4 linked regions of the Pelodiscus sinensis genome follow. The protein of the gene in region 3 interacts with the protein of the main gene of each other region in a pairwise test. Links are inferred from orthologs where the notes say so. Each region holds a gene or a part of one and is shown on either strand. Other genes may lie near its edges.

Region 1 (7,705 bases), on a different chromosome or scaffold from region 3:
TGAGCTTTTGATTAGGCCTTTAGTCTCCTGAATGAATTAATTTTTTTATTTGGTACATGCCTAAATAGCAACAGGTTTTCCATGAATTTGTAGCAATGTTGGAAACAGCATTTAAAAAAAAAAATCACAACTGCCCAGAAAAAAAAAAGTTTTCTACCTAAAAATCAGGCCTCTTAATAAAATCCTATATAGCATTTCCTGTGAGCTGTTAGAGAAGAACGCTTATATTAATGTTGACTTTGACTTGACAGAAACAGAGATAAAGGACTCTGTTAGAGAGACACATGCTGTACCTACCCCATATGATAAAACAAGATACTGTAGTTGCAACTTTGTTAACTGCTAACCTTAGAAGTTGCATTTGGGAACATAAAATACCTCTCTCTTCAGTTACTTAAGGATTAGTATTTTTCTACCAACATATAAAGGTTTTAAAACACAACATAAAATGTGTTTGATTTTTAAAAACTTCTGATTTTTAGCCTAGAAAGAGCGTTTTACAGTTATCCTAACACAACAAAGCACTGATTTTCAGAGATGCTGAGCACCTGCAGTTCCGATGAGTTTTAACACCCAGCACCTTTGGAAAACCTTGGCATGCTTGTCCTAGAAATGACCCGCTCAGTGAATTTTAATTTCCCATATTAGTTTCAATATCATTCCAAAGAGCACAGTATCATTTTTATCAAGCCTCCCATCCCCAGTCTAAGTCCATTACTAAACCCATTTTCAGATATAAATTGTGGTGGAACCAGAAAATTCTTTGGTTCTGATGGCTTCATACTGACAGCATTTAGAAAGAATCATTTCTATGCTTTACAAAGTATAATTCTTCTCTTTTGGAATGATTATTTTCAATAGCAAATGAATTTTTTTTTAAAAAAAAAAAAGCCAAAACATGTAAGTCACTAAAAAACAGACATAGCCTCAGAAACTTATCAATCCACAGGCTATATATTAGCTCTTTTATGAAGGAATGCATGTATATACACAGCTTTAAAGCAATGCTGAAAAAATACAAAAAATTTACCAGCTAAGGTGTAACTTCTGCTCATCCATGTTAACCATAAACAAACAAAATTAATTATATTTTTGCCCACTGAAAACAGTTACTTACTCATGGGTAGTAGAGTTTTGCATAGTTGAATTAAGGTATATAAATACTAGTATAAAAATTTAAAATTAAAGATGTTTAAACAAATAATTTAACATTTAAATTAATTGGAGGATCAAACTTCTATTCCTGATTGTTAGAATTATAACATTGTGTGTGTGTCATTTAAGTACATCCTCACTTCCACCTGCCCCCACCCAACATTTGATTTTTAAGTTGGATGGATATATGGGTTCATCATGCTGCTTTGCTCTTCTAACAATTTGGAACTGGCATGGAGGACTCAAATTACGATGTATTAATTTATATAATCCTTCTAAACATAGAAAGAAAAAAAACAAGGTAGGTGAGGTAATATATTTTCTTGAATATATTTTCTTGAATCAACTTCTGTTGGTAAGATATTCAAGCTTCTCCGCTTAAACAGAGCTCTTCTTTGGATCTAGGAAATACACTCAGGGTGTTGCAGTTAATTACAAGGTGGAACAGACAGTTTAGCAAAAATAATTAATAGCTATTTCACAGGACCATTCAAGATGAAAGAGACCATTAGCACCCCTCTAGTCATGGGAAAAAATAGACAGAGGGAGATAGCTGAGAGGAAAGTGGCACTATAGATGGTTATAAACCAGTGTCTCAATTATTCCATCCATTCTTTTTAGTGTCTAACTGTTACACATTTAAGCTCCGAGGCTCATCTTTTGAAGGGGCTGCTCAGATTTCCTTTGATGATGAGAACTGAGACCAGATATACTATAGAGTGATTGGTTTGTGAAAATTATTAGAAGGAAATAGTCACCTAAAAAAAGTAAGTTACTAATATAAAAACATAAAAATGTATACTAAACACCACAAGATACAAGACATAAAACGTATCACTCACCGGTTTGGGCATTTTCAGATCTTAAAGCGGTTCTGTTATTCCAAAAACAAATGGTCATGCAGTGGCTTGAAGATCTTTTTTCTTTTTCGTAAATCTGGTAACAGGTGAGTAGAAAAAGTTCTCTTTTACTGAGGAGGAGGTAAAGTAAAAGAAGCTTAAAATCTCAGTTCGGTTTCTTAAATAACGAGGGAGAGCAGCAAAGATGATTCATACGTGACCCACAATTACTAGGGAACTCCACTGGTTTTATTTTATTTAAAAAAAAAAACCACATAAGTGACCTCGCCCAGTGGGGGAAAAAAAAATCCATCTGCAACCAGAGAAGGTCATTGGGCCAGACACACCCATAAGCCTAAGTACAATTTCAACACCTTTCCTAAGCGGTATAAGATTAATAACCTGGGAAAGGAGGAGGGGGCGGAAACTGGAACCATTGTCAGCCCTTGGTTTGCAACACAGGGACCGCTCCCCCGACGCCTGCCTGCCAGCAGGTCGGAGAGAAGCACCGAGACCCTCCCTCACAAAGCAGCTTGCCCCGACTCCCGGGGAGGGCAGGCAGAAGAATCCCGCCCGAGGGGCCCAGCAGCTGCCTCCCTTTGCCCTGAAAGTTAAAACAAGGACCGGGAGGGAGCCCGGCCAAGCCTCAGGCGGGCTCTAGCCTACGGTCCGCAGACACCACGACCCGGCAGGGCTCGCTCGCCTGCTCCCGCTCTGCAGGCAGCACCTGGCCCCGGGAGCCCCAGGCAGGCGGGGAGACCGAGCGGCGGCAGGAGACGCGCGCTAAGCCCCGCAACACCTGTTGCCTGCGCCACCCCGTGCTCCCCCGGCTCCGGCTGGGAGACCCCTTACCCGGCTGTCTCCCTGCGGCGACTGGGCAACACCCGGGACCGGACTGGACTGGCAGCGGCCGGAGGGTGGGTTGGGCTCCCTGTGCGCGCCTCTGACCCCGCCCCGCCGCTCCCACTGCTGCAATATGGCCGAGCGGGCCCCGCCTCCCCCGAGCCGCGCCTTCCCCTGTGTAGACAGCCCCGAGCCCGGCTCCCCGCGTCCACACGCGAATGCAGAGCGCCCTCCCGGCGCCTTGTCAGCCTGGCGCCCATCTTCCCCCTGGAGAGCCTGGGCAAACACCGCGGGGCATGCCAGGGAGCAGCCAGGGACGCGCGTTCTTTGCGCCAGCGTAAGGGAAAGAAGCAAAGCAAAGGAACGAGCCTCCAGTGACAAGCAACACACGTGCCTGGGGAACTTACCCAGACTTGGCTTTGTTTGGTTTTAGGGCTACTGGGATTTGGACAAAAATTCTCCTTCCCACCAGCCCTTTTCCTCCGTGTGCTGTGCTCCTCTCCCTTCAGGTAATGGGAGGAAGCAGTTGCATTGCAAGCACTTCTGGAGGTGCGCTTATATTTGTCTCCGTTTTTTACCCTCCTTTATCCTTTGGGGCTGAAAAGTGTCATGCTTACTATAAAAGGGGGGAATTTGGTTGTCTTTTTGAAAGTCTTCACATTTTCATGGATGGAAGTGGTTTGATTACTGTGCAGCCAGATTTTTTCACACTTTAAGAAAACTTTCTGACACTTGCTTTGGCTAGCTCATTTGTATGTGTAATGTCACTGATATAGTCAGGGATGTAGTGCTAAATTTGAGAATGCATGGAACTCTGCGGAAGTGATATTGGTGATTAATTATTCTGTCACTAATTTTTACCAATAAACTTTATCTAATGGAAAGTCTGCGAACCATCCGTTATGAGACTTCACACACTAGTGTCTCTGTTTATATATTTTAGAGATTTTGTGCATCTATCTGAGAGGACTCCTCCAAAATGATTAGAGTCAGGACCACCAAATTTGGTATCCTAACTTAAAGCAAGTCAAGGCTTGGTTTTGCCAGGACAATGGGGATGTGCTTGGAATTCGATTGTTTTCTGTAACATGGAAAGGGAGGGGTCTGAGAGGAGGGACAGTTATGCTCCACCATGACCGCAGGGAGCACAGGGGACAGTTATATTGCAGAGTGACCACAGGGAGATTGCTGCACCAGGAAGAGAGTGGCCAGCCACTGACCCAGATAAGTGCCCCCCCCCCCGCCCAGCTCTCTGCTATAACACCGGATGGGGGGGGAGGGGCTCAGAAATCCCACCAGCCAGTAGGCCTGGCTCCAACCCCTATGAGAAGCCACTGAGGGGAGCTGGGCAGTCCAGCCCCACCCCTACAAGGAGCCAACAGGCAACCCAGTTCCAATCCCATTCCCCTCCTGCAAGGAGCCACTGTGGGGGCACTGGGCAGCCCAGCCTCGCTTCCCCCCCAAGATGAGCTGGCAGGGGGGCTAGTCAGTCTGCTCAGTCCTGCTCTCCTCCCCCTGAGGAGCTGCTTGGGTGCTGCTGGCCAGCACAGCCCTGTCCCCACCCCCCTGCAAGGAGCCACTTGGGGGGGCCACCAGCCCATCCCCAGCACACACACTCCATGAGGATCCACCAGGGGTCTGGCCAGCCCCACCTGTCCCGGGAGGAGCTGTATTTAGAGCAGTATCACCCTCACTGCCACCAACAGACCAGACCCAGTGAGCCCCCCAACCTCTCAGCCTCCTGGTCTGAGCTCCTTGCCCTGAGCCCTCAACCCCTGCACCTCTATATCCTCAGGCCTCCAAAGGACCGGAGCAACACAAGGTGAATCTTCTAATAATATAGATGAAGATATAGATATATAAAATATCAACATTAGCTATCTGTAACTCAGTATTTATGTGATAGAAATGTAGCCGTGTTAGTCTGGTGTAGCTGAAACAAAAAACAGGACTATGTAGCACTTTAAAAACTATATAGCACTTTTCATATGTGTTCATTTTTTTAAATTGTATCCTTTGATATATACGGTTGTGACAATTTTCTTCCACTATTTGATCTGAGGAAGTGGGTCTGGCCCACGAAAGCTCATCACCTAATAAACCATCTTGTTAGTCTTTAAAGTGCTACATAGTCCTGTCTTTTGTTTCAGTATTTATGTGACAGACTTTAAGTAGCAAGGCATATCAAAAGCACAATACAGTTAGTAAAAAGCCCATGGATGGGTCATGTAAAATACCAGTTTTACAACATCAATATTCTCTGCAAACTTAACATAAGGGCAAGATTCCCTGATATGCTCAATAAATCCAATTTAGCTGGATGATCAGACCAAGTTGGTCGAGGTTGTCTAGTAGACTCTACTTATTCTGACAGCACTCATGCATCCCAGTTGCCTGGTGTACATCCTGCTCGCTGTCCAACACCTTTGGCCTACTGGCCATAGCCCCCAACATTCCCCACTTACCCCCAGTCCCTCACTCCACTGCCACCCAACATCCTCTTCATAGTCCAACAACTACTCACTGCCAGCAACTTTCCTGGTGACTCATCAGCACCTCCCTGATGAGGGCTTAGTAGGGCTTAGTGCTCTACTCCTGTACCCAGCTACTCCCAAACAGGGTCACTGCTTGCTCCTCCTCCCTGTCAAACTCACACAACAGGCAACAAATTTTAATAATGAATGGTGTCAGGAACTGGTGTGTAGTTCTGCAGCACCTCCCAGGTTTGTCCCAGGACATCTCCCTTCATGAGGGAGGGGTAGCTGTACCAAACCTGAGTTGTGTTGTAACTCTGCATACCTGGTGAATTGCTGGAGTACCTCTCTATCCTGGATTTCAGGTGATACAGTAACTTTCTAGACTGCTTTGGCAGCATGAGACCCTGGGGTATACTGCAACAGTTTATTCACTAGCAATCTATTCCTTCCGCGCTTGACGATAGACTAGTCAAAGAGGCAGAAAGTTTCACAACCCCAGAAGCAATATTTCTCTCTCTCTGTTTTATCAAGTGACAAGGGATGGATTACTTGATGATTATCCACTCTGTTCCTTTCCTCAGAGGCACTTGGCATTGGTCACTTTTGGAAGACAGGATACAGGGCTAGATGGCCGTTCAGTCTGGCCTCGTATGGTCATTCTTATGTTCTCTTAATCTGTTCTGCTTTTCTGAAAGCCCCAGCCACAGGAGACATGGTTATATGTAATATTTGGGTTTGGCTGCAATACCTGGGTCTAATTTTGGTTGCTGGGTTTAATGTGTGGGTAATGGTAGTGGTGGTTGTCTGTGTTGTACAGCAGGTCAGGCTACATGATCTGGTGGTCCCTTCTGGGTCAGAACACTATGATCTGATAATCTCAGTTTTTGTTTCTATTCAATGTTTCTAGGTCTCATGAGTACAGAAAAAAGCCTGAAAACGTAACTCAAGTGCATCCCAAAGGCTTAGAAACCAGAAGGCAAAATAAAAATAACCCCTATATTAATCTTGGAGGCCTTTCTTTTGAGTTTTGATTATGAAGTTTCAGTGGTACTATGCACCTGCTCCTCAGTTCCCCCGTTTTTCACATGCAAATATGCTTCTGTGGATAAAGCAGCAGGCAGCTCCTTCAAAGCTTACTGTGCACCTATCCCAGCTTGTACAGTATTCCCTCCATAAGAACAGTGTATAGCACTGCAGGCCAAAGGCTGTACACCCATGCCACTTATCCCTAGGGACACACCGTTATGTCCATAGTTGCTCCTGGAATCATCCAGTGAGGCTTTACGAGCTCCCTCTGGACCAGAGAGCAAGCAGTGGCTGTATCCATAAGCCTCTCTGAGGTTTCCTCCCTACCATCACTAAAATGGAGGTTAATTTTTGCCCTTTTTCTTCCCTTTAGCTCTGGCTCAGCCACAAAACTTGGCAAAGCTACAATCCATGTATGGGCAACCCCATTTCTTGTGTCCAGGCTGCCCACATTGGTAGCAAATAAATGTGACGCCTCAGCTGGAACTCCTTGGAATTTCCTTCTACCTGTCTATGCCTGTTCCTGCGTTGGGTTCTTCAGTCATCCTCCCTGCTCTGGACCCTTATATGGTTGACCATCCTTTTGGGGAAAGTCTGCCTCTGAATACTGATCTGTTAGTTTCATGGCAGCATCCATCATGCCCAGGTGAGGTTTCATGACCCACAATTGTATGGTCTCAGGGAGGCCCTAATATCATAGAATCATAGAATAATAGGACTGGAAGGGACCTCAAGAGGTCATCGAGTCCAGCCCCCCGCCCTCAAGGCAGGACCAAGCTCCACCTACACCATCCCTGACAGATGTCTATCTAACCTGTTCTTAAATATCTCCAGAGAGGGAGATTCCACCACCTCCCTTGGCAATTTATTCCAATATTTGACCACCCTGACAGTTAGGAATTTTTTCCTAATGTCCAATCTAAACCTCCCCTGCTGCACTTTAAGCCCATTACTCCTTGTCCTGTCCTCAGAAACCAAGAGGAACAAATTTTCTCCTTCCTCCTTGTGACACCCTTTTAGATATTTGAAAACCGCTATCATGTCCCCCCTTAATCTTCTTTTTTCCAAACTAAACAAGCCCAGTTCATGAAGCCTGGCTTCATAGGTCATGTTCTCTAAACCTTTAATCATTCTTGTCGCTCTTCTCTGTACCCTTTCCAATTTCTCCACATCTTTCTTGAAATGTGGCACCCAGAACTGGACACAGTACTCCAGCTGAGGCCTAACTAGTGCAGAGTAGAGCGGCAGAATGACTTCACGAGTTTTGCTTACAACACACCTGTTGATACAACCTAGAATCATATTTGCTTTTTTTGCAACAGCATCACACTGTTGACTCATATTCAACTTGTGGTCCACTATGAC
Region 2 (7,002 bases), on a different chromosome or scaffold from region 3:
AGCAGGATTTCAGTGTGCCAATTTCTGATGGCCAACATGAGACTCAGAAAAAAAAAAAAGAGATTCTATGCTGGTTACAAAAACAATAAATTGAAACTGCTTAAAATCTTGTTTACTTTTCACCATCAGATATTATCACTTTATTTTTTGCACCTTTTTTGCAAATCAGTGACTTTCTGGGCCTTATGCTTGGATTTCAGATATACTGCAGGAGGTTTTCATTTTATTCAATAAGATTATTATACATGGCTGTGCAGTTGGTGGCAGAGAAAGTTTGCCATCTATAAAATATCTAGATATAGGCTCCGAACAAGGTTACAGTATCATTTATTCCTTGGGCAAACAAAGATGCGCTCACTGGAATTCACAGAAAATGAATCCTGTGGATCATAGTGAGACTGAATCCAATATTTTGTTTTCAGAGATCATAAGTTCTGTATAATTCTATATAAGTATATATAGTGTCTATCTAATGCTTAAAGCTTCCAAATTGTTCATATAAAATAATCTGTTAAAAGCTCATGAACAAGAGTGGCTTAAGTCAAAGTTGTTGATTCCCCTCCAGATCTTTCTGCCCTTACATGATGAGGTTGCCTACAATAGGGACTGGACTCACTGATCCAGGAAGTCCATTCCAATGCTATATCCTTTGTCATATTAATACCATATTCAACTACAGCTCACTTTGAAGCTATGAGCTAGCTAGCAGTTAGTTCATAAACAGATGATAAAGTGACGGGTGGAAGGGGGGCATATATGTACTACCTGCATGCAAATTAAATTATGTAGATTACAAAGCATTTATTAGGAACTGCAGATTTTCTTTCAATTGCAATATAAGGATCATAATAACAACTGCATTTCTTATAGCTGCTTTCACAGAATATTGCATTCTGCATAGGGTTCATGCTCTGCAATACAGACAGACGTCCACAGCTTTCTAGGAAACTCTGCCCTATGTTCATGACAAATGGCAACGGCAATCCATAAATCTTACACCTCTAGTCTAGGTTACTGTAAATTATTGTGTCTCAGAATTAATGTGTCAATAATGAAGAAGCCACAGGAGGGACAAAATGTGGCTGCCCACCTCCTCAGCGAGACAGACAACCACTAGCTTGTAAGTTTCATCCTCTGATCCCACCTCTGGCTCCCAATTCACTCCTGTTGCCGTTCAAAGCCTTGGTCTTTAAAGCTCTGCAAAGGTCGGACCTCGGCACATAAACAACCTTATTTCCTCCACTGACCTGCTAACAGTTGCTCCTCTCTAGAACAAGAGAGTTTACACAACCCCAATTGACACACATGGTAGCTGGAGATAGCATTATCAGATGAGAGAAATAAGCTATGTAGGAATAAGCTTCCAGAGGAAGTAAGGCTAAACTAGAATCCAGCAACTTTCAGGGTACATTGCAATTGCAATACCCTCCTTTTTTAGGGGACTAGAGAGATGGTGTGGGTGATGTACTGTCTGTTACTGGACTAACATATATTGCTTTGTCCACACTTTCAGTGCTGTGTTGCCTCTGTAGTGCTTACAGAAGATGCCAATGGAAGTGCTTCTCCTATCAGCATATGACCTCCACCTCCCTAGAGTAGCTTGTTCACATAGTGCTGTCTACACCGGGATTAGTTTGGTATAATTATGCCACTGAGTGACACAGTTATACCAACATAAATTGGTAGTGAAGACCAAACCAAACAAAAGCTTTTGAGCTTACACAGAGCTCTTCTTCGCCTCTGGGAAACATACTCAGGCTATGTCTGCACTAGCAACCCTGGCAGCACCGCTGTACCAATGCAGCTGCACTCCTGTAAGGTCTCCCATGTAGCCAGTCTATGCCAATGGGAGAGAGCTCTCCCCACAACCTCCAACGAGTGGTGCTAGCTAAGTTGGCAGGAGAGCATCTCTGGCTGACACAGCACTGTCCACACCAGCACTTCTGTTAGTGTAACATGTCATTCAGGGGGTTGTTTTTATCACAACCCTGAGCAACATAAGTTACAGCAACAGAAGTGCTAGTGTACACATACTCAAGAGTGTCACTACTAAATGCATAGCTGGAACAGAATTTAGCATAAGTAATTAACACATATTAATTAACACCGTTAAAGGTGAAGTGGCCTGTTTTGGTCACCCCTCTTTAAGGAAACATTTCCACTACAATCAGCAACACAGTTACAGAAGTTACTCCTTAAACAGAGAGTCTCTCCTACCAAGGAGTAAAGAAAAGTAGAAGACTCCACTAAGTCCACTAGGGATCTCATTAGGCAGCTGTAGCATCTCAGGGAAGCACAAAGATACAGGAACAGATGCTGGAAACTCTAAACAGAGATAATGCCCTCCCAACACTAAAATCCCCAGGTACCTCAATCCCACAACAGCACCAAACAGTCAATAGCCTGGCCCGACTGTTACACAAGGAACTCAGCTGTGCCCATCCCCTCGTCCCTCACATGCCCGCACCCCACACCCATCTCATGTGCTCATTACAGAGCACAAATGACTAAGCCTACAACACTTATTTATTACAAAGCAACTAACCCCACACCAAACCCAGAGGGTCCAGCACAGAGTGTGTTGGGTGTCCCGCATTCAGGAGCTAGGGGCTCTCCCCCTGCCCCCCAGCACATTCCTCCCCCCACTCCATCCCACCCCACTCCCAGGTACCAACCCCTTTCCCGTCCCCCACTTCAGCCCCCGCCAGCAACCTCATTCCCTCCCTTCCAGCCCCCCACCAGCACCGCACCCCCAGGCACCGGCTTCAGCCTTCCCACCCCGGCCCGCCAGGCGGCCTCACCCGGAAGCCCTTCTCCCTGTCCGCCTTGATCTCCGCATCCAGCTGCTTCAAGGCGCCGGTGAAGCCGCGGAAGAGCAGATACTCCCGCACCAGCTCGTCCGTGCGCTCAGTCGCCGCCGCCATCGGCCCGCGCCCCGGCAGCCAGGCCCGGCGCCCAGGAGCCAGCCCCGCTGCAGCGAGCCGGCGGCCTCGGCCTACGCGGCCCCGCCCCCCCGAGAGTGGCCCCGCCCCCGCCCGCTGCGCCCCGCCCCCTAACTCACCCCTGGCTGCCTTCCCCCGCAGGGGGCGCGGGGCGGGACCGGGGAAGAGGCCGGTCCCCTGACCGCTGCCCTGCGCGGTTGATTCCTGCTGAAATCCGGCCCCGGACACAACCGCGCGCTACATCGGCCCTTGCTCTGCGCCCGTCTCGGCCCCACGGGACAGCGCCGCCGGGCCGAATTCACACGGTGCTCGGAGCCACTTCGCTGCCTCCAGCAGCGCGGCTCCTGCCTCGTTGACGATAGGAGGATGCCGCTCACTAAAGCGCACCCGCCCCGTGTTCATCGACTCCAGTATCCAAAGCGCAAAGCCAGGCGGGTGCGCTTAGAAACTCGGCACCTGCCGGGCCTTGCGGAACAGAGGATGCAAAATGACAGGAGCTGAGCGGCCTCCTTTTCCAAACTCCTCCCGGCCCTGTCACTAGCAGAGACTACAGCGCCCGGCGTGCCGTGCTCCCCATGGCTCACCGCGGGCCCCCACGCTGCATGCCGGGCTTTGCAGGGCTGTGTTCGCAGACCGCACTGTCTTAAAACACGCTACTCCCTGCTGCGCTCATTGCGAGTTCCGCACCCCGCTCCGGAGCCCAGCAAGATCGCAGTGCGACTGTCAGTGGGAGGGAGCCTGGGCTTCCCCTGGCATCGGCCACACACTTCGGCGGAACACCGGGTCCCTCAGAAAGAAGGGATAAGGCACCAGCCCTTTAATTCTTGGGATGCCCGTGAAAGGCAGAAGGGGGCTTTTGATACCGCACATAGGAGCACGTGGGTGTTCAATCTCCTCGCCCAGTTCACACTCGTACAGCCCTGAGTGCACAAGTGCAGCGATGCATGGAGGGAGGCGCCCCCAGCCCTACAGGGTCACCCCACCACTCCTCGCTGCCCTGCCCCCGCCCTGCACCTCTTCCTCCTACCACCACCCGGCCCTTTCCCGCGCTTTTGTTGCCTTCTCAGGCAGTGGCTACAGCGCCAACGTTCTCCCGCCCGTCCCCGGCGCTCTCCTATTGGCCTTTGGAGGCTCCCCCTGAGCTGTGATTGGCTCCCTGCCACGTGCGGCGATGTTGCTGGGCGGTGGCGGCAGCACACGCGAGCTGTTTTGGGGGAGCTGCGGCAGGGGCTGGGACGTGGGAACGGGCGGGCTAGAGCCAGTCGGGCCGGAGGGATGCTCCGCAGAGACGCCAGAGGCCTCCAGCCCCTCGAGGACTGTCTGTAATTGAAGAGAGCTGGATAGAAATGGGGAGCAGAGTTAACAGGGAAGGGGTAGAGCTCCCCAAAAGGGGGCAGCGCCTGTAGCAAGGGGGGCAGAGCTCAAAGGGAAGGGATCGAGCTCCTAGAAAGGGGAGCTACAGAAAAGGGGAACAGAGCTCATCCTGACGGGGTAGCGAGCCCCATAGGAAAGGACTGAGCCACGGGGAAAGGGGGGCAGGTTCATGGAAAGGACCAGAGCCACAGAAATGGGGGGAAAGCCAAAATCTATATACGCAGTGGGGCAGGACTCAGAAAGGAAGGGCAAAGGTCATAGAGGAGGGGAGCCAGGGCTCTGAAGGTGCAGAAGTTGCTGCTGATTCCTAACGGGTCTCTTAATCTGTGTTTATATGATTTTAAATAATATGAAAGTCAGACTTTAATGAATTCTTCTATGATTCTTTACAATGTCTCTTTCTGTAGTGATCTGAAGGACGTATTCAGGCTTTTAAAAGTGATAACTCTGTTTGATCTTTTTTTTTTTCTCGTTCCATTATAGAACTTCTGGGACCATTAATAATAATAAATAAATATTAATAATCTCTCTCATTTGAGCGATAATAACAAAATTGTCAGCAACATTCTAATTAGTATCTTCATCCAAACATTTCAGTGAAATGTGAGGGCAAGCCAGTTTCCCCTGAATCAATGGAAATTTTAAAATTACAATATACATAATTTGTTTTGCTAGTATTTTAAATTATTGTGAAAGATGGAAGGAGTTTTTTTAGGAACAGAACATGTAGGAATATGAAAATGTGATGCAGTTGATACTTGACAGTCTGCTCAGAAAGGATGCTATTTATACAGTCTGGCAGTATTTTGAGAGGGAAATCTTCCAATGACTTCCAATAGTATAGTAGCTTTGCATGTGTAAAGATTGTGGGATTGAGCCATATGAAATTACCTGCTTCATGCTTCTGGGGTATTTTCAGCAAGCTTTTTCAGACTTTTTCTGGAGATAGTGTTATGCCCTCAGTATGCTTATTTGAAGCAAAATACAGGACTATGTAGCACTTTAAAGACTAACAAGATGGTTTATTAGATGATGAGCTTTCGTGGGCCAGACCCACTTCCTCAGATCAAATAGTGGAAGAAAATAGTCACAACCATATATACCAAAGAATACAATTAAAAAAAATGAACACATATGAAAAGGACAAATCACATTTCAGAACAGGAGGGCGATGCGGGGGGGGGGGGGGGAAGGAAGGAAGGTAAGTGTCTGTGAATTACCTTAATTAATTAATTCACAGACACTTACCTTCCTTCCTCCCCCCCCTCCCCCCCCCCCCCCCCCGCATCGCCCTCCTGTTCTGAAATGTGATTTGTCCTTTTCATATGTGTTCATTTTTTTTTAATTGTATCCTTTGGTATATATGGTTGTGACTATTTTCTTCCACTATTTGATCTGAGGAAGTGGGTCTGGCCCACGAAAGCTCATCATCTAATAAACCATCTTGTTAGTCTTTAAAGTGCTACATAGTCCTGTATTTTGCTTCAGCTACACCAGACTAACATGGCTACATTTCTATTACTATGCTTATTTCTGTGTCTAAATCCTCGTGTAAAGGCCATCAATAATGTATGGAAAAGTAATTGTGAAGTTTTAATATTTATTACACGTTCAAATTTTATTTCTCTGGCATTTGCCATTATTGAGAAAGTCATACAGATTTTTACACCACAAATAGTAAATTGATACAGTAAATCATGGATACCGTTCTATAGTACAGTACAAAATCAATATATCTGATATTTATGCCATAGGGAAACCAACAATTACCTTAAAATATAATTTCCTAGGTGTCAGTACTATTTTGACCACCCTAATTCAATTTTAACTATACTATTTTACCAGCATCTGATCTGTTCCAACTCACAATGGGTGTTTTCCCAGTGTATTCAATGGCAGTTTGGGCCCTTAAAAAAGCAGGTAACACTATAAAAAAGTAATTTCTGTTTCTGTTAAATGTAATTTCTGTAAGTATTTTCCTTTTTTCTTCACTACTAGCATTTAACTGAAAAGGGAATTTAGGTGACTTTAGAAGGTCTGCTTCTATTGCTTATTCACCTATCCCCATCTAACATAATTTACTGTGAATTCCCACTTGGCTGAAAATGTCACAAAGAACAGTGCCATCTAGTGATTTCAGTGGGAATTTGGAGCACTCAGCACATTGATTAACTACATCATTGCAGGGCAAGAAATAACTGCCCCATCTGCTTTAATTTCGTGTGTTTCAAACTGCAGTGCACATCTAGCCCACCACTAATAGTAGATCAAGTTATAGTACATATTGTTAGTTTGCTTTCATAGGGAAAACAGAAAGTGATTTAATATTTCCTTCATAACCTGCTGGAAATGAGCTGGATTGTTCTGCTTCAACAGTTGTCTCAATTTTACTTGTTCATCTGCCCATCACGCATACTGTAGACTCACTCTATTTTGAAATGCTATTTATTTGTTTAGTAAAATGTAACCATTCCGTTGCAGCTTTTGATGGAGACATCTGGTGACTGTAGCAGCCCATGTGTCAGGGTAACTCCTGGGTTCCTTACACATCTGCAAGATTTGGAGCCCCAGGTGGCAAGAAGACGCTTATCTCAGGCACGACACCGGGCTACATTGGCAGGACTCTTCAACAACCTGCGGGAAACTGTTTATTCTCAGTCCAACAATTCAGCATCAAAGGTATGGA
Region 3 (8,021 bases):
TATACATATAGTTGTGACTGTTTTCCAATGCATTATTTTGCATTTATCAGGAACTGTGGGTATGGGCAGATCACTGCTTCTCACAGGCCAGGAACAGAGAACCAAGGCCAACGGAAGCTGTAAGCAGTTGTGCCTGCAGATATGCAGGTAAACAAATGACTGGCAGCCAGCCAGGGGCTAGCCTTGGTGAAACACATTCAGCCCAGAGTCCACTTACTATCCCCCTGCTCAAGATTGTAAGAAGCACCTGCACAACAGATACACAAACACTGGGATCATCCCACTGCCACATAAGAAAGCAGCCAAGGACAGGTCAGGAATATGAGCATTATTCTTCTTAAACACTTCCCTGTAAAAATAAAAATGGGAGGAGGGAATCATTCACTGCTACTTTCTCCAAATATGAGAGGAAACTGTTTAACTAGTCCCACATCAGGGTGTACACCAGGACTGCAGACTTCCTTCTGGCAGTTCAGTAACATTCAGCAAGTCAGAAAACAGAAAGACAGATCGGGGAGATTATATATTTTAGTGTACAGAAGTGACTCAATAAAAGATATTACTTCATCGACTTTGTCTCTAATATCCTGGAACCAACTCCAACTATAATTTCACTACATAGATGTCAGAAAAATCACTTCACCCACAGCCCTTCCGTTTTCCCTCATACTCTGGGAATCAGGAAGAACACCGTTTTCTACATTCAGCATTTAGACAATAAAGATTTTAATTTGGGGCCCTCTACACCTGCTCCATCAAGACTTTAAAAAGAAAATCACAAGGATTGTGCTACTACAGCACTGTAGCACTGAACAGCTCCTTGTACTCATCCTCTACCCAAGCATTATAGTTAAGAGTCCAGAACAGTCATCATTAAGGTTAAGAATTTGACACTTATTTTTAGTAAAATTCACAGACAGGTTATGGGCTTTAATTAATTTTTGTTTATTTCCCAGGACCTATTCAGGACTTTTATTAAAAAATAAGTGTGTGGGGATAATGACATGGAGATGACTGAAGCCTGAAAGGGGAGAGAAGAGAGCCTGAGTCCTGCTGGGGGATGGACCAGCACCCAAAGCCACAGCCAGCTGACAGTTCTGGGGATGCAATTCCAACCCAGGGTACCCATCCAGAACACACCATACGATCCATCATCTATAGTCAAGCCCTTCGATACAACTGCATCTGCTCTAATCCCACTGACAGAGACCAGAAAATTCAGGATCTCTACCAAGCATTTATAAACCTCAACTACCCACCCGGAGAAATAAAAAAGCACATTGAAAGAGCCAGACTAGAAACCATCTACTTCAAGACAGACCCAAGAAAACCAACAATAGAACACCACTTGTCATTACTTACAGCCCCCAACTTAAACCTGTCCAACACATTATCAATAAACTACAGCCCATACTGGAACAGGATACTAAACTGGACATACTTCACTAATACCAACCCTGGTACCTTCCCTTGCAACAAACCCCATTGCCAGCTTTGTCCACATATTCACTCTGCAATACCATTATTGGACCCAATCAAGTGAGTTATAAGATCAAGAACACATATTCCTGTGCATCCAGAAATATAATTTATGCTATCATGTGCCGAAAGCGTCCATCTGCTACGTACATTGGACAAACATCTCAGACACTTCGCCAAAGGATCAATGCCAACAAAACAGATATTAGGATCACAAAGAAAAACAGTTTCTTACCATTTCAACCAGAAAGGACATTGTCTCAACGACTTAATTACCTGCATCCTGCTTCAAAAGCCTTTTAGACTGCACTTGAAAGAGAATCCTCTGAACTGTCATTCATGCTAAAATTTGACACTTTACACCTGAGTCTGAACAAAGGATCTAGTTACCTTACCCATTACAAAGATAGTTTCCCCAATTATCACCTCTAATATCATTAGCTCACAGACATTTACCTTCCCCTCCCCATTCCCCTTCTGTTCTGAAATTTGATTTGTCCTTTTCATATGTGTTCATTTTTTTAATTGTATCCTTTGGTATATATGGTTGTGACTACTTTCTTCCACTATTTGATCTGAAGAAGTGGGTCTGGCCCACGAAAGCTCATCACCTAATAAATCATCTTGTTAGTCTTTCAAGTGCTATATAGTCCTGTATTTTGTTTTAGCTGTTTTAAAGTTATTCATTCCTCCATATCAGTCTCATAGTTCACATTTTATAGTATACATCATAATTACTATAATAATTTGTCTGTTTTAACAGAACTGCTGCTTTAAGAAAAACAAACCTAACTACCGACCAAGGATCTTTCACATAAAGCTTCTTTTTCCCCCTCAAAAATAAAAGTTCAGTACATGCTAGACTCTGGATACCCAATTACCAGGATACTTTATTAAATTATCTTCTTCCAATGAGAAAAGGCCAGCTGAGTACAGAATACCAGCCTTGCTTTGCGGGCACACACGTGAATTACTATTTATTATTATTCCAGGAGTTCGCTAGAGCATGCGAGAGGCTCCCTGGCTGTCACGAGGTGTATGTATGTGTGTGTATATATCTACGTAGCAGATAGCAGCGGCCTAAAGAAGCTGCTGCTCTACTCGGGGGAGCGACCCTCACTGCGGAGCAGGTTAATAAACCTTTTCTTTCTGGTGAGAGCCTTTTGCTGGGTTCCTGTAACGGAACCCAACTGCTTTGGAACCCGCCGCCACGCATCCGTCAGCTCAAGAGACAACATCAAGGGCCCATCCGCCCCACCAGTGGCAGGCCCCCCCACGGGCGTCCCTTCCCCCGCCCACTCCACCCCCGCTGCTGGGGCGGCAGCTTCTAAGAAAGCTCTATGGTCCCCTCCTAGGTTTGCCCCCGACCTAGCCTGGCCGCCCCGCGGCCGCACACTCACACTCTCTGGAGCGGCTCCTCGGGAATGGCAGCCGGACCCTGCTGCTGCTGAAAGGAGCGGAGGGACTCGAAGGCCTTCATCAGCTTCTCCATAGTGGCCATGTTCCCTCAGGGGCCAGGCAATCGCAGCGCCCGGACCGGACTCCCCGAGCCGCCTCGCAGCGCCCGGGAGCGTGGAGCCTGCCCCCTCTCAGCGCACGGACTGCCCCCTCCTAGGGCCTCAGAAACTCTCCGCTTGCCGCGCCCCGGCCGCCGCGCCGCCGTGTCTGCAGCCGCCGGGGTCCGCACGCGCCGCCGCTCGTCACTGCAATGAATGGAGGAGACGCTGCAGGGGTCTGCGATCACTTCGAAACCGCCTCACCGCCATTTTGGAAACCTCCCATCATCCCCCACGCTAACCCTCCCTGCCCGGCCGAGAGCAAAGGTCCCCGCGCATGCCCCTGAACCCGGCCTATCCTCAGGGAGGGGGTTGGAAAACTAAAGAGTGACAGCCTCAACCACCAATCAGAAAGGAAGCTCAGGAATACTGGCCAAATCACCACTAGCGAGGGAGGCTGGGTCACCCTTCAGATAAACACAAACTTGGTTGAGAGGGCATACATTCATCCGCACTCCCCTCGCCCCCAACCACTCCGTTCTGCCCCGCCTCCTCTCGCGAAAGTCGCTGTCGGGTCCTAGTGCCCCTTTGGTTCATGTCAAACTTGGGCCGGTCTGCCAGAGTCCGCCGGTCGCATGGTGCTGGCTTCGTTCCCTTGGGCTCCCACAACCCATGATCCTCAGCGCACAGCAGACTGCACGAGGGCCGCTGGGGGTATGCCCTACTTAGAGCAACCTAAGGGACCATCTACACCCAGATCTTGTATTTCCGTTGCTACTAGGTTCAGGCCCCATGGTGTTGTCTGTCCTTTAATAGTCAGGAACATGACAGGGGACTTAATGACAGACAAGAAGCTAGTGCCCATAAAATTCTGATGTGAACACTCCTATTTGCGAATGAAATGGAGCTCAGGGCGTAAATAAGTTTGTTCTCTGAAAGTTAGACTTAGATATGTCTAGAGCAAGGGTAAGGTTGAGTTAAAGCAGTGGAAGGACTCTGCTACCTGTTGCAGAAGTGGATTATGTAATTCAGAACTTCAGAAAAACCCACTTCCATAGATCCAGGAAGCATACAAGGTACAGTACTCTAGCGGCATACACTTGCTGCTGTAATACACCCATATCCTAAGGTTGAGTTGAATGACATCATCCCTGTAGGTTTAAAATTGAACAACATGCATGCATCCAAGGGCTAAGGCAGGAATGGGCACTAATTTGTGGAATGATCCCTCTGCAAAAACAGGCCACAAAGTTCTACTATTTTAATGAAAAGGCTCCATTATGTTTTTATACAACAAATTGCACTTAGTAATTAACTGAATACACAATTATCCACAGCTTCTCTTAGAAGGCAATTGATATTGCAAACTATTTTATGAACACTTGTTAAATTTGTAATAATACTAATACTAAACTTTTACTTACAACTTACATTTAGTAAGTGAAAAGAAGAAATAAAACTCAATGAAGAAAAAGTCTCCAGTGGGTATTACACAGCTGCCAGACTCCTGGGGAGGGGAGAAGTTAACTCCAGGACTCAGAAGGGGGCAGGGCCTCAGGCAGAAGGGGCAAGCTTGAGGCTAGCATCCCCCAGTCAGCCCTTCACACTTGCGCACCTTGCAGCACGCAGGGCACCAGCAATTGGACTCCATCCTCTGCTGTGGTCCTAATTGCCAGAAACCAAGGCAGCCTACACAGAAGTGGCAGATGGGCCAGATCCAGCCAACAGGTTGTATTTTGCCCATCCCTGGCCTATCGTCTATACACCTCATGGGGTAAATCTACCCTGTAAGCACTAGTGACGAGTTGCAGCTACTTTCCCATAGTGCTGTAGTGTAGACACTTGCTACAACACTGGAAGGGGTTTTCCATTGCTGTGGTAAATCCACCTGTGGCAAGGCAGTAGTTGGGTTGATAGAATTATTCTTCCATTGAGCTAATGATATCAACAACAAGGCTTAAGGCAGCATAACTGTGTCTCTGAAGGCTGCCTGTGTCTCTGAAAAATGAATTTTCACACCCTTGAGTGACATAACTAGATAGGTTGATCCAAGTTTTAAAAACAGACCAGGATGCAGAGGAAAGGGACAGCAGGGTAAGTAGAGCTCTGAGCTCCATCTTGCACTTTTAAAGGAAAATACCTGTGACAAAATTTGAATGGAGCTCTTCCATGTATATCTCTAGAAATCCTTTCACTTTTTTCAGATCCAGTTTTCAGCAGTAGTTTCCTTCATTTCTTGCTTGAAAGTATTATCTGGGTACACTCTCCTAATTACAGGTGGATCAGACAAGCTGAGCTAAGACATTGCTACAGAAAAGACGATGCCTCTGAGTCTGCACCAGCCAAATGCTATCATTTGTCTCCTTGTCTAAGGGTTCAGGTAGCTGGTACTCACATAAACGAAGTAGGAAGACAATGAGGTTTATGACTTCTCTTTGAGTACAGCGACAAAAATTCTTTAAGCTCAAAGACACTTCTTAAAAGTAGTTTTTTACTTTAGACTGAACAGGTTGCAAAGATCAAATAGTATTTTTATACAACTTTCATTCTACACTCCAGAACACTACTTGTGCTATCAGTACTCAATATAGTTTTACAGAATATACAAGTTTCCAGTAAGTGCACTTAGTATACACCTACTTTCCAAGTAGCACGTCCTCTTGATTTTTATTCTGTTGAAATGGAAAAACCAATTAAGGTTTCTTAATTTTTCCACTATTACCACATGGACTATAGAACAAAGATATTGACATTGGCTAAAAGGAGACATTACAAGAACTCATGCTAAAAGACTGAAAAGAACCAGTGATACATTGCTAAGCAGAGTATTTAATCTGAATTAGATCCCATTTTTCTGTTTTCGAAGCCATAGTTTTAAGACAGATGTCGGTCAAAGTTAAAATAGGGTTATATTAAGAATGGGGCTTTAGTACTGTGTTTCATGCCAGCATGACATTTTGCATATGATTGTATGATTCATATGAATCTTTATAGAATCTGTGAGTCTACATCGAATCATGATTCTATATAGACCTCTTACTTTGAATCATTCATACTTGTATATATTCAGCATCACTGAATTGAAAATGTTTGCCTTTCTGAAGATAAAACTTGTTCCAAGTACTCTGATTTACAGAAAAGCACCTGGCTCCTCTTCTTCCTATAATTGTACCAAGGGTACCTTTGTTCTTTTGTGAAAAAGTAATACTAATTTCGCAGCATACTGTTATAAACTACTTTTTAAGTCAATACTTCTGTCATTATAAATGCAATTTTTGCAAATCAAAAAAATCAATGTAGGGTTCCACTGAATTTTCCACAGTTTCAACTGCTGGTTTTAATATAACTGGCTGCTTGAACCCATTTAACTGAAATCCCCTTATTATGCACATTATAGCAGCTAGAAAAAGTAAGGCAAATTTAATCAATGTAACAAATACTCTGCAACAAAATATATGCAGCTTTTGGAAAACTAAGTGCTGAAGTTTGCATAGACTAGGAAAGTTATATGGCTAGTATATGCTCCACCTGCTAAGAAAAGACACTTTGAAATAGATTTTCATACTACACAAATTAAGCTTCCATCTTCTCGGAAAAAGATGCTTAACGTAAGATTGAGGATTGTCCAAGGAGTCTTTCTAGAATTATATCTGAAGTTAAGAATTAAAGTTTTCTTTCTTAGGGTGTGTCTACACTGCCAGGCTTAACTTGAAATAAGATACGCAAATTGAGCTACGTCAGTTTTATTTCACAATAGCTCATTTTGAAATTGGGAGCATTTACACAGCACTTATTTCAAAATAGAGAACTCTTCCTCTGACTTTCCTTATTCCTTCTACAATGAGGGTTACAGGAGTCAGAGTAAGAAGTCCTCCACTTTGACAGTATTTTGACACTATTCCAAAATAACTGCCTGCTGTGTAGATGCAGACTAAGTTATTTCAGAATAGCGCTAGTTGTTTCGGAAGTGTTGCAGGGTAGACGTACCCTTAGTCCTGTCCATTCTTGATTATTTAACTTCATTATGATGCCAGGTTTTCAGAGGCACAGATAATTGTAGAAAGTCATTTATGTTAATTTACTGCAGTTGCACACTGAATTGTGTTCCCTGGGAAATTGCTCCAATAGTTAAATTAGTCTCACTATTAAAATATATGCTAGCATCAATTTGACTTAGCTTCATATTTCAGCTATTGCTCATGTCATACCTTTCTCAGCTAGATTGAAGAGACATGTATTCAATATTTCTACCCCGTGTTGAGAGATACCTATAGACTGTAGTCAAGTCCCTTAACCTTGTCTCTGTTAAGATTCAAAGTATTCAGTCTATGTGTCTACTATAAGATTATTTGTAATCCTTTAATCAATCCTGTCACTCTTTTCTGAAGTTTACGACAATGTAGAATGAAGAAGCCTCATTTTATCAATTAAGCATTCAGCAACTCATTGCTCAGACAGGATTGGCTTGAATTGTTTATTGTATTTGACTAAAAAAATATTCTGTGATGGTTGAAACATTATGATGTAATATATAGTAGTATGACATTATAATGAAACAGGTATTTTGTCAAAGTCATATTGCATGTAATCCTTAAAACTGAATTATGTTTAAGAATTCAAAAATAAAAGAATGCCAAAATTTTCAGCTTTTCCGTCAAAGAAAAATGGTATCTTTTCCTTCAACATAATCCCATTATACATTATCCATTCCCAGACTATGTGGACCATTATGAATTTTGTATGTATTAAGTGATGAAAATATGAGTTTGGCTAGAATATAATATATGCCATGTATTGATTACATGTACCACTCAATATACATAAAATGCAAATTGAAACAACAAATTCCTATAAGTAAATCAAATCAGATTGAGGTTTGTAAAACTAAATGTGAAACTTAGGTTAAAATGTATAATGTTCTAAATTATAAATGCCAGAACAGGAAGGAAGTGTTGTAGTTAGAGGTAGAGAATCTTATTTGAAATTTACAAAAAAAAACCTGCCAGACAAACATCCAAAAATAATGAAAAGTAATAACTAATGAAA
Region 4 (7,231 bases), on a different chromosome or scaffold from region 3:
TATTTTGTTTATATATTAGCTCTACATTAGGGATGCCAATGTGTAGTCAACTATATGATTAACCAATAAGCCTAGGCTTATTGGTTAATCTTGTTGACTACATGCATTTGCCCCTGCCCTTGCAACCTCTGAGGCAGCAAGAGGGGGGAGAGCCGGTTTAAAAGCTGGTTCTCCCAGCACCAGCTCTGCAGTGCCACCTGCCCTAACCCACGTTACTGCATGTCAGAAGCAGCAGTGCAGGGGGGAGGGGAAGAGGCTGCCACAAAGCAGCCTCTGTCCATGGCGGGCCCAAGCTCCCCATGGACAGGGGCTGGTGCCAGAGCAGCCTCTGCCTGCGATGGGCCCAGGCTCACCATGAACAGAGGCTGCTCCGTGGGAGACAGAGCAACCTCTGTCCAAGGGAAGCTCGGACCCCCCATAGACATGCTACTGCCTCGGAGTCAGAGGCAGCAGCACAGGGTGGCAGGGAGCTAGTTTTTAAAGTGGCTCTCCTCGCTGACCAGTTCCTGCCTGGAACCCCATGCTACTGCCTCTGATAGGTAGGCAGCAGCAGGGTGCTCCCTGGGAGTGAGGCCAGAGAACACTGGCTGCTGACCCTGCCCCCTGGGGTCTATAGAATAGTCAAGTAACTGATAAGAATTTGTGTGGTTACTCAACTATTCAATTACCCAATATCTAACATTGCTACTATACATCCAATCTTACTTAATGACCATGTTTCTCCTATTTTCATCTTACCCACACTCCAACTGAGCCATTCTTCCATCCCTTGCCTCCATTACCACTCATTGCATTTTGTCTCAAAAATATGAAGTGGGTGGGTTTTCCTTAGTATTTTAGATTCAGTTTATCAATATGGAACATGAAGAGAATCATTTCAGCTGCAGAAATGAGCACCAGCTTTTTAGTTATCATGGATCCCTAGAGTTTTGGTCATATTCACTTACCACATGCAAAGTTTAATTTCTTCCAGTCATGGAATTATGGTTTTATGCAGCTCTGATTGTGAAATATCATATTGCCTCTCCTCTAGTCTGCATATATGTAGCACAAGCCACAATTCCTAATGTTTCTGTAAGCAAATTAGCTATAGTCAAAAGAAGATAAACTGCTTCCATGATCCCATTAGTTCATCAGTATCATGGAGGAATATTAAAGTAACACTTTCATTGTGAGGGAATTTCTTATAAGGAAAGTTTTACCTAAGTTATTAACACTTCAGCTTAACACATTGGAAGACTGATTGATATCTGACTAACAATGACTAATTTTGTAGTTAGGAGTTCTCATGAACATGCTATGTTTGATTGCAAACATTCTGAAAAGAGTTACCTCTGTGCTTCAATCCAATGCCCAAGGTCACATAAAGGGAAAAGGTGGGGGCAGATGGTGCATGTTAAAGAAAAGTCTGAATTCTTTATCAGACACAGCAGAGTATGTGTGCATGTGTGTGTGTCTCACTCACTCACACCCTCCCTTGCCATCACCCCAAGGCACAGTTTTCTTTTCATGACTCTTTTCACCTCACCCTGGATCTTCCCAAAGATCAGGGATAAAAGCTCTGCCTGCATGTTACATTTAACTAAAATAGATTTTTTTTAAATCAATTTAGACTGGCAAAAAACACCCTTTGCAGGCAAAATTAAACTGGCCTACAACTGATTTGATTTAGCTTAATTCAGTAATATTCTGAATTAGGCTAAATTGCATAACATTAAAATAAAACAGATTTAAATATGTCCACAGAGGCTGTTTGGCTGTACCTGTTTAAACCAAATGAAAGATAGACTTGAATTCCACTACCACAACCTTTGCTCTCAAACAAGGCCAAAGACTCTCTCCACAACACACTGAACACTCCTTTCCATGGGCTGAATGACAGCATAAGAGCTGAAGTGACCCCCCCACCACCACCCAATCCCACATTTTACTCACACAACCAATAACTCAGTACAGGTACTAACCATCACCCGAATGAGATTGTCTCACACAGCACAAGTCACTAAGAAAGAAGTCGGAGGACATAGCAGACCTTGGAGACCTCAAAACAAGCCTGCATGTGGCAGGGAGGAGGAGAGGACAGGCCAGACACCCACTGAAATAGACACACTAGCATCATAGAAACCCTCCAAACCCACCGACAGAGAGTAGTTTATCCCCTGACCACACAACACTCTTCCCCATACAAGCCAAGCCCTCCCAGCATGAACACCCCCTGCAATCTGCCTCCCCTCTTCAGCACAGCCGCCCCCCATGGGACAGCCCCCTGCTAGTGCCCAAAGCAACCTCTCCCAAATCGCCCTCTTGCTAAGGCAGCCACAACTCCACCCAGATCACCCCCTGCTCCTAGGGCAGCTCCCATTAGTGCCCCAGAAGCTCCTCCCAAATCTCTCCTCCTCCCCCCACCTAGGACAGTCCCTACTCCCCCCAGATGACCCCCCGCTAGTGCCCCCCCAGCAGCCTCCCCATGATACCCCCGCCTAGGGCAGCTCCCAAATCACCCTCCCAGGGCAGCTCCCGCTAGTTTTCCCCCCAACAGCCCCCAACCATTATACCCCCGCCTAGAGCAGCCCCTCCGCCAATGACCCCCCCCGCCTAGGGCAGCCCCTCCCCCAGTGACCCCCCCCGCCTAGGGCAGCCCCTCCCCCAATGACCCCCCCCCGCCTAGGGCAGCCCCTCCCCCAATGGCAGCCCCTACTAGTCTCCCCCCCCCCCAACAGCCGCTTCCGAATCGCCCCCCCCCCTTGGGCAGATTCCCCCAATCATCGCCCCCCCGCCTAGGGCAGCTCCCGCTAGCCCCTCCCCCGAGCAGCCACCGGAACCCCCCCGCCGCACTCACAGTTCCGGATGTCGGAGATGAAGACCGCCAGGCCCCGCATCCCGTCTCCCTTCGACACGGCCGGCATCTTGGCCCAGCAGCTGAGCCCGGAGCCGTCAGCACCACGGGACCGCTACAACCGCCGCCGCCTCTGCGCTCCGGCTCTTCAGCCGCCGCCCGGCTGCGCAGGCGCGGGACCGCCCAGCAGGCAAAACAAGGTCTGACGGGGAGGGGGGGGGGGCAGTGAGAAGGGGAGCTGCAGCGCCCCCTGCTGCGTAGAGAGGGGGAAGGTGAGCCACGGAGGCAAACGGGTTAGGTGGCTAAATACCCACAGCCCCTCCTGCCACCTCTCTAGGTGAGGGTAGCTTATTGCAAGGTCCGGACACTGGAGCGCCACAGCGGTACCTGATCACCTGCGAGCGGTATCCAGCGCTGAAGGGCAGCGCTCTGTGGCTGGAAACTTGTCCCTTTCATCATCACTGGTCTTCTAATTCATAACAGATATTACCTTACCTTGTCTTGCTGGTACCAGACCCGGGAATTCACCTTCCTAGCCCCCGCTGGACAGCGTTGTGTGGTCCACATTGGCCTTTGCATCAGTATTTATTATTATTACTGTTATGTTATTATTTACTTATTACATGTTTCCATTATGGCAGTAACTAGAGTGCCCAACCAGTGCTGGGAGGCAGGTCACAATATTTTATGTGCACACAGCAAGAGATGTTAGTTCCTGCTCCAAGCTGCTTATAATCTAAACAGACAAGACAGGGAAATGGTGGAGGAAAAGAAGATGGAAGAAACACTGTCTCAATTTCACAGACAGGGAACTGAGGGATTAAGTGACTTGTCCAAAGTCACTCAAGATGTTGGAAACAAAGCTTGAAATTGAACTGAACTCTCCAGGGCTCAATTTAGCATCTTAACTTTAACGTCATCCTTCTTCATTGTTATCATCTGTTGTAGTTTTGCTGTGTGCTCTCTCAGTTCCTACACCTGAAAAGCACAATAGCATCATTTAGTTTGTAACAGCAGAATATTAGGTGTTTTAATTTCATCAAAATAAAACAAAAAAATCATTCCTGTCAGCCCACACATCATACTGTACTTCCAAAGCCATGGATATGAAGGGGCACAATACATTTGACGATTAGGCTGAGTGAGTTTGAGGTTTTGACAGTATCAGAAATCCTTAAACCTTTTAAATCTGTAAATCACAGTTCTGACATTTGAAAAACATCATAACAACCCACTTCTCATCAAATGCATTTGTTATTTTGTTAATATTGAAAATATTAATCTGTTTATCTGACCAGAACCTTGCTAGCTGAAAGAAAATCAATGCATTTTGCCCTATGCAGTACAATTAAACTGTTGTCCCTATGCACAATGGCAGCCCCGGGGTGGGAGGGGGGGAGATGATTTTTTTAGAGGTGGGATTTTATAATCTTCAGCAATCCACTAATGAAATATTTTAAAGCAAAATTTAAACTAAGGTCCTAACACAGGGCTCGTCTAGACTACATTCCTCTGTCGAAAGAGGAATGTAAATGAGCCCAATCAAAAGTGCAAATGAAGCATGGATTTAAATATCCCACACTTCCTTTGCATATTCGCGTCCGATCGCTGTTTCGAAAAAGGGTGTTTCAAAAGTGAAACCACAGTCTAGACGTGGTTCTTTCAAAAAAAACAAACCCTTTTTCAAAAGAACCCATACTCCTGAAAAAATGAGGAGTACCGGTTCTTTCAAAACAGAGGTTTTTCAAAAGATCTGTGTCTAGACTGCGGTTTCAGTTCCGAAACATCCTTTTGTGAAACAGTGATCGTACACGAATATGCAAATGAAGCGTGGGATATTTAAATCCACGCTTCATTTGCACTTTCGATCGGGCTCATTTACATTCCTCTTTTGACAGAGGAATGTAGTCTAGATGAGCCCACAGTAAATTCAGAAACTGGCAGTATATACCCGGGTGTGGCAAATGCTTGTTAAAAGTCTTCATTGCCACTTGAATGGCTCTTTCACAGGTTCGGTGTTCTGCTAATAGACCTGGCAGGCTTTTTCATTTTTAAGTTAACTAAATCGTCTCTGGAGGAAGCAGAGCCACAGAACATGGATAAAAAGAGGCAGGTGGGTAAGGAAGGTTCTGGTCATGTAAACCACCATCATGGAACATTGCAATATCCAGGCCATTCATCCCTCAAACACCTTCTGAAGATCTCATGTCTAGCATGACAATCATGAGATTCTCCTGATGATCTTTATGCCTATCCATACACCTGAATTAACATGTCTAGACCTGAGATTTGGTCTAGCTCTAGGAATAGTAGGAAGAATAATAATTATTATGCTCTATCCTGATCCATCATTTACATCCTCTAGACAGAGGTCAGAACTTGCTCTTTCTCCTCCATTTGAAAAATAATCCAGTTTGCTTATCTATTACCAAGACCTAATAGATTTAAGGAGTTTTACATAATAGAGAGCATATTCTAACTGTAGCATTGATGTGTTACTGGAATAATAAGACTGACTAAACTCATTGCTTTTCTTGTTGCCAAATACACTGAATCTGAGGCATTAGCCTAAAATCAGGATGAGCCTAAGGTTTTGTCTTCATGGCCAAAAAGGTGGTTTTCTCCCAGTGAGATAACTATAGCATGGTAGTTATCTTGTTGTAAAATTACAGTGGAAACATTTCTTCTGGAGACAAAAATGTGGTGTGTAGAGCTCTAAAAACTGTGGTGACAGTATGTGGCAATTTACGTTCCTGAGAGAATCCAAGTCATGATCCTGAAATTTGTTGTATGCAAGTGGATCCCAAGCCTGCACAGAATCCAATTTATTTTAACAGGGCTCTGTCATGCACATCATGTTGCAGGATTTCAACTCAACAGGCTGAATTCAGTTGAGGTGCGATTAAATATGAAGGCTGAATCTAAGACTGAAATGGCCTATATGTTGCTTATAAATAAGGATCTGCTAACTGTTCTAACCCTATTAATTTCTGCTGTTATTTTGTTTTCTTATTGTTGCTACTACTGTTAGTCTAATTCAGTTAAATATATTTGCTGTGGTTATAATTAAAAAGCCATAATTTGCTTTGTGATAAAGTGTCAGACTCATTCCTGGGCTGGCAGGAAAACAACCCCTTTGCTTGGGAAAGTAGCACAGATGTGTGGCTTTATTACAGAGATATTCAGGAGTGGCAGAAAAAGCAATAGGAAAGCCTGCTTTTTTCTCACTCTATGAAAGATGTCAGTAAGGGCATGCATACATTACAGAGAAGATCAAAGCTACCACTGTCGATCTTCTAGGGTTCAAATTAGTAGGTCTAGTGAAGACACACTAATTCAAACTGAAAGGAGCACTTTGGTTGATGCTGGTAGTCCTGCTTCCATAAGGAGTAAGGGAAGTTGAAGGGCTAGTGTTCTCCCTTCGACTTCCTGAAGTGTGGATAGCGCCAAAAGCCGAGTTAAGTTACTTCAACTTCAGCTACACAATCAATGTGAATAGAAGAGGATGTGTGTCTGGCAGGGAATGGGAAGTTGAAACAGAACTGGGCAATAGAATAAAGGCTTTGTCATTGTGTGGTTCTTTGGGGAAACAGACTTATGTAAATTACACTTTGAACTGAATATATGTGGAACCAAGGTGGGGGTTTTTATGTTGTTTTTAACAGTGTTGGAGCTTTTAGAATTCCATGTATTGCAGTTTGTAATAAAAACATTTTTCGCATGTCTGGAGTAAGATGAGTAAGGTTAAAGGTATACCTATATGTCAAGAACCTAGCAGAGGGTAGCTTAGTGTTATAGTCTCTTTCTTTTTTGCAAGAGCAATGGCTTGGTCTCCTGTGGTTACTGGTCTGGATCAAGATGGCTTCTTGCTTGGTTTTAGTAGTTTTTGGTTTTCCCTCTAACAGCCTCCTTTGGAGTCGGGAAAATATCACTGCATTTCTCACACTTATAATACGTGTCTAGGGATTTGTTTCGTATCATGTAAGCCTTAAAACTTCACAATTCCTTATCAGAATGATCTTGAACTTTCTTAACATTCCATCAATGTCCGACCCAGCAAAATAAATAGCCCTCAATCCCACAGAAGTAAACAGAATTTGAAAGTGTCAAAGCCTTCCAGAGTCAGGTGTAAAAAAAAAAAGAGAAATATTCAAGTACTTGTGGAGGTTTAGAAATAATCCAAATGACTAGAGCATCCAGTGTCCCATGGTGAAACATGGGTTGTTATGGGAATCCTGTAAACAAATACAGTAAAAGCTCTGTTATCCAGCACTCAATTAATCAGGAAGCTCAATTAACTGACATTTCTGATATCTCCCAATACACAGCTTCAGTCTAATAACTGGGACACATTATGCAGTTGCACTGTCTACACTCTACTTTTATGCAAAAGAC

Evidence for each region.
Region 1: the proteins of HTT (region 3) and EZR interact in binary tests that used the Homo sapiens proteins (3 or more experiments, as listed by UniProt). The link is inferred for Pelodiscus sinensis from reciprocal best matches to the Homo sapiens genes HTT and EZR.
Region 2: the proteins of HTT (region 3) and WDR91 interact in binary tests that used the Homo sapiens proteins (3 or more experiments, as listed by UniProt). The link is inferred for Pelodiscus sinensis from reciprocal best matches to the Homo sapiens genes HTT and WDR91.
Region 4: the proteins of HTT (region 3) and AP2A2 interact in a two-hybrid assay, tested with the Homo sapiens proteins (2 studies listed by BioGRID and IntAct). The link is inferred for Pelodiscus sinensis from reciprocal best matches to the Homo sapiens genes HTT and AP2A2.

What each region holds. Positions count from the first base shown.
Region 1 is NC_134713.1:112,894,425-112,902,129, forward strand, and holds the start of EZR (ezrin), read right to left. Parts: upstream 3,004-7,705; 5' UTR 2,847-3,003; intron 2,126-2,846; exon of another isoform or gene 2,092-2,125; 5' UTR 2,010-2,091; coding exon 1,998-2,009; intron 1-1,997. UniProt on the Homo sapiens protein: Probably involved in connections of major cytoskeletal structures to the plasma membrane. In epithelial cells, required for the formation of microvilli and membrane ruffles on the apical pole. Along with PLEKHG6, required for normal macropinocytosis.
Region 2 is NC_134711.1:85,552,486-85,559,487, reverse strand, and holds the start of WDR91 (WD repeat-containing protein 91), read right to left. Parts: upstream 3,022-7,002; 5' UTR 2,925-3,021; coding exon 2,802-2,924; intron 1-2,801. Other genes in the region: STRA8 (stimulated by retinoic acid gene 8 protein homolog), read left to right, coding at 4,114-4,260, 6,798-6,995.
Region 3 is NC_134715.1:116,690,464-116,698,484, forward strand, and holds the start of HTT (huntingtin), read right to left. Parts: upstream 3,020-8,021; 5' UTR 2,981-3,019; coding exon 2,880-2,980; intron 1-2,879.
Region 4 is NC_134714.1:119,009,187-119,016,417, forward strand, and holds the start of AP2A2 (AP-2 complex subunit alpha-2), read right to left. Parts: upstream 3,022-7,231; 5' UTR 2,907-3,021; coding exon 2,840-2,906; intron 1-2,839. UniProt on the Homo sapiens protein: Component of the adaptor protein complex 2 (AP-2). Adaptor protein complexes function in protein transport via transport vesicles in different membrane traffic pathways.